Ovis aries: one gene and its partner. The protein of the gene in region 2 purifies or fractionates together with the protein of the main gene of each other region. This does not show direct contact. Links are inferred from orthologs where the notes say so. Each region holds a gene or a part of one and is shown on either strand. Other genes may lie near its edges.

Region 1 (3,964 bases), on a different chromosome or scaffold from region 2:
TAATATGAACACGGGTACCATGAGAAAGAGAAATTGAATATCCATGTGTAGGCTGAATTAGAAAAGAGAAAATCCTAGGTTTTGGTAGCAACGATAGTGTCCATTTCAGAGGTGGAAATGACAGCCTGAATTAAGATGTAGTGGTTAACATGAAAAAGCTGCTTTGCCAGGGCGAAGAGCTGGGCAGTTTGGTGCAGGAATTAAGACCCTTTGGGGAGTATTTAATTGAGGGAAGTGGCATGCAGGCATAGGTTTACTGATGGATTAATTTGGCAGTGGTAAACAGGATTGGACAGCTGGTAAGACTGAAAGTAGACAACTAATTTGTTGTAACTGCTGTTTGCAAATGCTCAAGTGAGGAAAACGTGAAACAGTTTCTCATAAGCATTCCTTGGTAACTTTCCACTGTCTTTTTCAGAATGGTGCTTCCTGATTCTGGACACCTGGTCCCAAGAAGTGCCAGGACATTCGAGGGCAGCCATCTGGGTTAAGACTCCCCAGCTAGCATTCACCCTGCACTGATCTAGACTGGCATTCTACACAGCCCCTTCCTCCCATCCACCTCCAATTACACTACTTTCATTTGCTGGCCTTCAACTCTCTCTTTCTCCTTGGGTGAAGTAGAATGTTTGGATGCTGTCAGAGTTATACACTATTCGTAGGTGTTTTCATTTTCATTTTCCTATTCCCACCAAATCTGACAAAACAGGTGTACTACTGGTCCAGGAGTGAGAACTTGGTTTTAAACTTGAGTTGTATGGTCCTGGGCATATCATTTTGAAAACAGGGACTATCAGTTAGATTAATGATAGTTAATTTGGGGAAACTATCAAAATTTTGGACCCCCTTTCTCTAGAAATTCACAGCTGCACATATAAAACCTACACACTTCAGGAGATTCATAAACCCCCTTCAAGCTCATCTATAAATTCTTCAAGACAGTGTTCTTAAAATATGTGTCCCATGACCCAGTGGTTAAGACTGTGCTTCCACTGCAGGGGACACATGTTTGACCCCTGGTAGGAGTAGTTTCACATGCTGCTTGGCATACCCAAAACAAAACTGTGTACCAGGATCATCTGAAGTGCTTGTTAAAAATGCAGTCCCAAACCCATCCCAAGAGACTTTGATTCACTATATCTGGGGCGTAGACCCAGATATTTACATTTCTCACAACATTTTCCAGGTGATTCTGATGCAGGTGGCCCAAGCTGCAACAATATATCTATAGAAATAAAGTACTTAAGGCATCCTTGCATCTCAAGTTAAAAACTGTGAAACAGGTGCTCACTGAACTTTAGATCTAAAGTTCTGCCTCTGTCTTTGTGGGTCTGTACCAAGATAGGGGTAACAAAAATTAACTTCCAGGTCTTAAGTCTGAACTGTTGGAGCTACCACCACAAACAAAAATATCTGAATTGTCCCATTAGAGTAGGACAATGTTTGTTTCAAAAGAGGAAGAGAAAGTTTGAGGTCTATTTACAATTTGCTAGTTACTAAATGTTTACAGAGTCAAAATAAAGTAAAATCCCAAATCTGGAATCTACAACTTTCTGAAGAAATGTAAGAATCTCTGTGAATCTGAGAGCTGAATCTCTGTGAGCTGAAACTCTATTAAAAATAATCAAAGATACCACACACAGCAATAGGTTTAGAAGTGTTTACAACATAACAGGCTAAGAAAATTATAGCACAACAATTTTAACTACCCTACAGCTCTATAGACTCATGAATCCCAGTGTGTCGACTGCTGTAACGTACCTCTACTAATATAGAAGGGCTTCCCTAGAGGCTCTGACGGTAAAGAATCTGCCTGCAATGTAGGAGACTCAGGTTCCATCCCTGGGTCAGGAAGATCCCTTGGAGAAGGGAATGGCTACCCACTCCAGTGTTCTTGTCTGGAGAATCCCATGGACAGAGGAGCTTGGTGGGCTACAGACAGTCCATAGGGTCGCAAAGAGGCAGACACGACTGAGCGACTAACACTTTCACTAATATAGAAGCCAAGAAGATGAACACGGTTAAGGTAGGTTTTATTAAGCACCCACAACTTCCGTGGCACTTTGCATAAGGCACTTAATTCTTTATGAAGGAAGTATCATTTCCACTGCAGAAATTAAGAAAGTGGTACCCCCCAAAGATTCACAGCTCGTTTAGCGGGGTCTGAGTAAAACTGGTCTCCTAACCTGATCGTTGCCATTATTAGGAGGATTTCCCGAAGCCTTTCTACTGATCAGCTAACCCCATCCACTTGTGTTAGTTTCTACACGCTTCCTTCCAAGTCCTATTAACCATCCCAGAGATGGAATGCATTTCTCCAGTAGAGCCACTAGTCCTCGGCTCTGGCCTCAACCTCCCCTGCCAGGGCTCCAGAACAGGGGAGGATGGAAGAGGGCGCGCCTTGCCCGGATGTGAAGTCTCAGAGCACTGCCCTCGGGTCGCCCCGGAACAGAGCAGTGGAGCAGAAACCCGGCTCCCTCCTCACCCCTCCGAGGGGATGGCCTTCAGAGCGCTCGAAAAGACGAAACCAGGCTGCAGCGAGCGCTCGAGGCCAGGCCTACCCTGGGTCTCAGGAGGCAACGAGTAAAATCTACTACAGAGATCCTGCACCTTGCAGGTCCCCGCCGCAGCCCGCAACCAGAGGCCCGGCGTGACCGCGGGGCGGGAGAGGAAGCGACAGCGCTGTTTACCTCCTCTGGCTGGGGCCTGGCCGCTTCCGGCCTTTCCGGGTCTCCCATCGCGCAGACTCCGCCAGAGCTACCGGAGCAGAGGGAACCGAGCGCCTCGGGCCACTCCAACTGGGACAGGACCAGGTGGCCGGCGGGTGCTCTGAGTAGGCCCCGCCCCCTGGCGCAGGGACCGCTCCTACTCCGGCCGGTCCCGCCCCGCTCCTCGGCGCACGCCGATCCCCGCTTTCTCGCCTGCCCATTCAGGACCTGGCCCGACTCGGGCCTGGCCCCGCCTCCCCACTCACACTGGGACGCGCCCACTCCGACTGCCGGCCCCACTCCTCCGCGCCGACCCCACCTCCCGCCGCAGCAGGAGTAACAGAGTCTCGTCAAACTTGGCCCAGCGCCACTGCGCGGGCACCGCCTTCCGCCTTCTCAGTGAAGGTCGCTCCTTGAGCCTGCCAAACCCCGCCCACTGCACCTCGGGCCCCGCCTCCTCCGCTAGGTCCCGCCTCTCCAGCCGGCCCCGCCTCCCCTCCCGGTCCGCTGCCTTTGGCCCCTCCCGCGTCGCCGTCTTCTAGCCTCTCAGTGCGGGAGGTCCCCGGACCTCTTACTATCGAAACTGTCCAGCTAGTCCTCGCAGTGCGTTAGGAACACGGTGTATGTCGAGCTAAGTCGGCCTAAATTAAAAGGCGCTTGCTCCTTGGAAGAAAAGTTATGACCAACCTAGACAGCATATTAAAAAGCAGAGACATTACTCTGCCTGTCTAGTCAAAGCTACGGTTTTTCCGGTAGTCATATACGGATGTGAGAGTTGGACTATAAAGAAAGCTGAGAGCTGAAGAATTGATGCTTTTGAACTGTGGTGTTGGAGGAGACTCGAGAGTTCCTTGGACTGCAAGGAGATCAAACCAGTTCATCCTAAAGGAAATCAGTCCTGAATATTCATTGAAAGGACTCATGCTGATACTGAAACTCCAATACTTTCCCCACCTGATTTGAAGAACTGACTCATTGGAAAAGTTCCTGATGCTGGGAAAGATTGAAGGCAGGAGAAGATGGGGACCACAGAGGATGAGAGGGTTGGATGGCATCACCGACTCGATGGACGTGAGATTGATGCTCCGGGAGTTGATGAAGGACAGGGAAGCCTGGCGTGCTGCAGTCCATGGGGTCGCAAAAAGTCGGACACGATTGACCGACTGAACTGAACTGAATTCGGCCTGTCCTGAGAGGCTGCGGGTTGGCGGTCGGACCGCACACTGGAGAAGCTAAAGAGGAGAGAGCGAGCTCTT
Region 2 (3,500 bases):
ATTTGAAGTTTCTTATGGTTGGTACTCTTCTTCCTTTGCAGGACTGGTCTTTGATGTGTCCAAATGAGTGTCCTGGTCTGGATGAGGTCTGGGGAGAAGAATTTGAGAAGCTATATGAAAGGTATGGGAAAAATACAAAAGTAATAATGTTTTAACCTTGTTTCTTTTATTTATAGGATGTAAATTTCAAAACTATGTCAATCATTAGCCTAGTTTCTAGGATTCTTCAGAAGCATCTAGAAGAGAATGTGACTAGTAATTTTGTTTTAGTATGTTTTCTTCCTGAATCTTCACCAAAATTTTGGTCTGTCTTTCTTAAAACTTTGGAGGGACTTCCCTGGCTGTCCAGGGGTTAAGACTCCACTCTACCACTGCAGGGGCCACAGATTTGATCCCTGATTGGGGAACTAAGATCCAGCATGCTGTGTGGCATGGCCAAAAAAATTACTCATGACAAACCTACCCCCAGCCCCCTGGCCAGGATGCCCAGGTAGGGGAACACCTCCAATGGCAGTGGCTGAACAGGAAGTACGGAAGGAAGTGAGGAGGGCAGTGAGGGGGTGGGGGGCAATGAGGGCCCTGACAGATGCAGAGGGTGTCTGGAGTACAGACATTGAGCAGAGCTTCCAGGAGGCCACAGCCACTTACCTACCCTGTGGCCAGCGGAAAATCCTATTCAATGGAGTCAAGTTGTATGGTTGTGATAAACTGATTGCCTGCAACATCAGACTGAGAACATGAAAGACCTAAACTTGCAAACAGTCTCTAGTCATGTCCAGGCTTTGGCCCAAGGGAAATCTGGGGAAATCCAGTTGATGCTCAAGGCGCTGAATGTGGACCAGGTTTCCAAGGACAAGGCTTTCCAGACAATGACTACTGTGTCCTTTGTCCACCTCATCTCAGCACCTTCCCTGCAGGCCAGACTGGGTCCCACCAGTCCTCAGGCCCCAGAACCTTTCCATTTTAGGCCGGGGCTTCTGGGCCCTCCTGGAATGTTCCAGATGTGAAGCCATTCTCAAAGTGACTGTTCTCCTTGTCACTGAATCCTCCATCTACTGCTCTGCCAGGGTATGAGCTTCCTAAGCCCTCTTACCCCTTGCTTTGCCCCCACCTGCCACATCACCCCCAGCCTGGTGGGCTTGGGCTCTGGGCACTGCTCAGTCACAGCACCTGTTTGTACACATCAGCCTGCGCTGCCCCAATCCTGGAGTGCCCTGCCTCGAGAGTGTGGACATGTGACAGATCTATGACAAATTCCCTGGAAAAGAAGGGCTATAGGAGCTGTATGACCGTAGGGCCACCCACACTTTCTTCCTGGTCAGGTTCTGGGTGGACCTGACTTGGGGCCCAAGTGGTGAGGAGGTGGGGCTGCCAGCGGCAGCAGTGGCTTCTGTGGAGAGAGCAGCCAGTATGAGAGCCTGGACCACGTGGCCCTCGCCTGTTCTTCAAGGTCTACTCCTTTGGCAAGCAGGTGGTGGAGAAGGTGGAGACGGAACATGCCCTGATGGAGAATGGGAGGTTTGTGTACCACATGTTGCACTCACCCATGTGCAAGCACCTGGTGAATTTTTTCACGAGCTGCGGCAGCTGCTGGAGCGCCATGCGATGAACAGTATCCTGGAGAGCTTCACCATCCTCCAGGTGGTGACAATCAGAGACACCTAGGAACTGCTGCTCTGCACCGCCTACATCTTTGAGGTCTTCACCAGTGAACGGGGTGCCCAGCACCACATTTACCGTCTGGTTAGGGACTGAAGGGGGACCCCAGGAGTGGCTCATCCTCAGAATACCCTCCTCTCAGGAAGGACCTCCAGCTTTCCTCTTACTTGGGGTGGGGCTGCTCCTTAAAAACTGGGTTGTGAGTTGAATGTGCTGGGACTGTGAGGAAAGAATGGATCCTAACGTTGGAACCTCACACAGGTGTCTGAAAGGACAGATCACTCCAGAGCATTAGACATGGGGAACAGAAGTGTGACAACCCTTGGGACACCACTGGTTCTGTCTCTGACAGGCACCCTCCCCGTTTTCTGTTTTGGATGTTTGGGAGGGCCCCAGTTACACACTGGCTTGTCCCTCTCTGTTGTTAAGCGCTCTCCATCTTCCCAATCTGCCTCTCCTTACCACCGGCATCCCAGTAGCCATCCCAGTAGCCCGATAATCGAATATTGAAAGTTAACTCTTTCTGTGCAGGAGCAGACCAGGTAGGCCCTGGAAATATTTCTTTTTTAATATAACAAAAGATAATTATTAAGAAACAGACAAAAATCTTTGGGACATGTAAATAGGTGTTCAAGTTAAATCATATTTTAGTAGATCCTCTAAAAAATTAATACAGAGTTATTTAGCAGGGTTATTAATTTGCTTTGTTATAAAGTACATTTGATAAAGCAAGTTATGCTTTTGTATTGTATACAGGAATTGAGAGCAACTGGGATGCGGGTGTCAGAAGTTCATTAAGTAATAGCACCAGAGTACTGCTGTAGCACAATGGCACTATTTAACTACAGTCTTTGTTCCTTTTTATTATGGAAGGTATTATTGATTTAGTGGGTCTGGCTTTAGCCATAGTAAAGTGTGTATCATATTCCTAATTTTTTTCCCTTAGCAAAACTTAGTAAAAATTTAAGTTTTCAATATTTTTTATTTTGGTATTTTCTCTTCATATTATCTGCAATAAAGATTTTCTTAGGGAATATTAAAATAATACTAGCTTTGCCTTCCAGGTATGAGAAAGAAGGTCGTGTCCGCAAAGTTATTAAAGCTCAGCAGCTTTGGTATGCCATCATTGAGTCTCAGACAGAGACAGGTACCCCGTACATGCTCTACAAAGATTCCTGTAATCGGAAGAGCAACCAGCAGAACTTGGGAACCATCAAATGCAGCAACCTGTGCACAGAAATAGTGGAGTATACCAGCAAAGATGAGGTAGGTAGAAAAACTTCTGCCTCGGGTACTGAGAGAAGAATCTTAGGAGTTTGTGAATTGTTTGTGAATCTCTCGCTTGATTTCCCTTGAGTTGAGTGAAGGAGTGTTCATAGCTTTATGTAAGCAAAAGGGCACTGAAATAGATTATAAAGGAAGGAAGAGGTGTAATGTGTGCCCTTAAAAATATTTTAGTCTGAGCCATATAGGAAAGACTGTCGATTTTTTCTTACACACACATTGTTGTAATAATCTTTTCTTGAGAAAAATAGCAATACATAATTATTTAGGTTAGAGTTAGGACAAACACAGTAATGTGTTAGAGTGTGCATTCAGTTTAAAGTATGTAAGCATGAGAGTCCTTTCAGTGAATGTGAGACAAAATTCTCATCTCAAATCTTTAAGGCCATTCACAGAAGAGGCAAGGCTGGAAATGGGATATAGATTTGGTTATTTTAAAAAGAAGTTTATGAAAAAGCTTTCTATTTGGGAAGAACTGCCAGTATGACAGATGAGAGACAGGGATAGGTTTTGTGCAGTGAGTGGAAAGTAAGTTTATTGTGATGGAGCAGATACAT

The links.
Region 1: the proteins of RRM1 (region 2) and RRM2B purify together in Homo sapiens (affinity purification with western blotting; 3 studies listed by BioGRID and IntAct, counting the BioPlex papers as one, with this or other methods). This does not show direct contact. The link is inferred for Ovis aries from reciprocal best matches to the Homo sapiens genes RRM1 and RRM2B.

Annotation. Positions count from the first base shown.
Region 1 is NC_056062.1:75,080,049-75,084,012, reverse strand, and holds the start of RRM2B (ribonucleoside-diphosphate reductase subunit M2 B), read right to left. Parts: upstream 2,801-3,964; 5' UTR 2,739-2,800; coding exon 2,691-2,738; intron 1-2,690.
Region 2 is NC_056068.1:49,759,416-49,762,915, reverse strand, and holds part of RRM1 (ribonucleoside-diphosphate reductase large subunit), read left to right. Parts: intron 1-41; coding exon 42-121; intron 122-168; exon of another isoform or gene 169-2,265; intron 2,266-2,723; coding exon 2,724-2,925; intron 2,926-3,500. UniProt on the Homo sapiens protein: Provides the precursors necessary for DNA synthesis. Catalyzes the biosynthesis of deoxyribonucleotides from the corresponding ribonucleotides.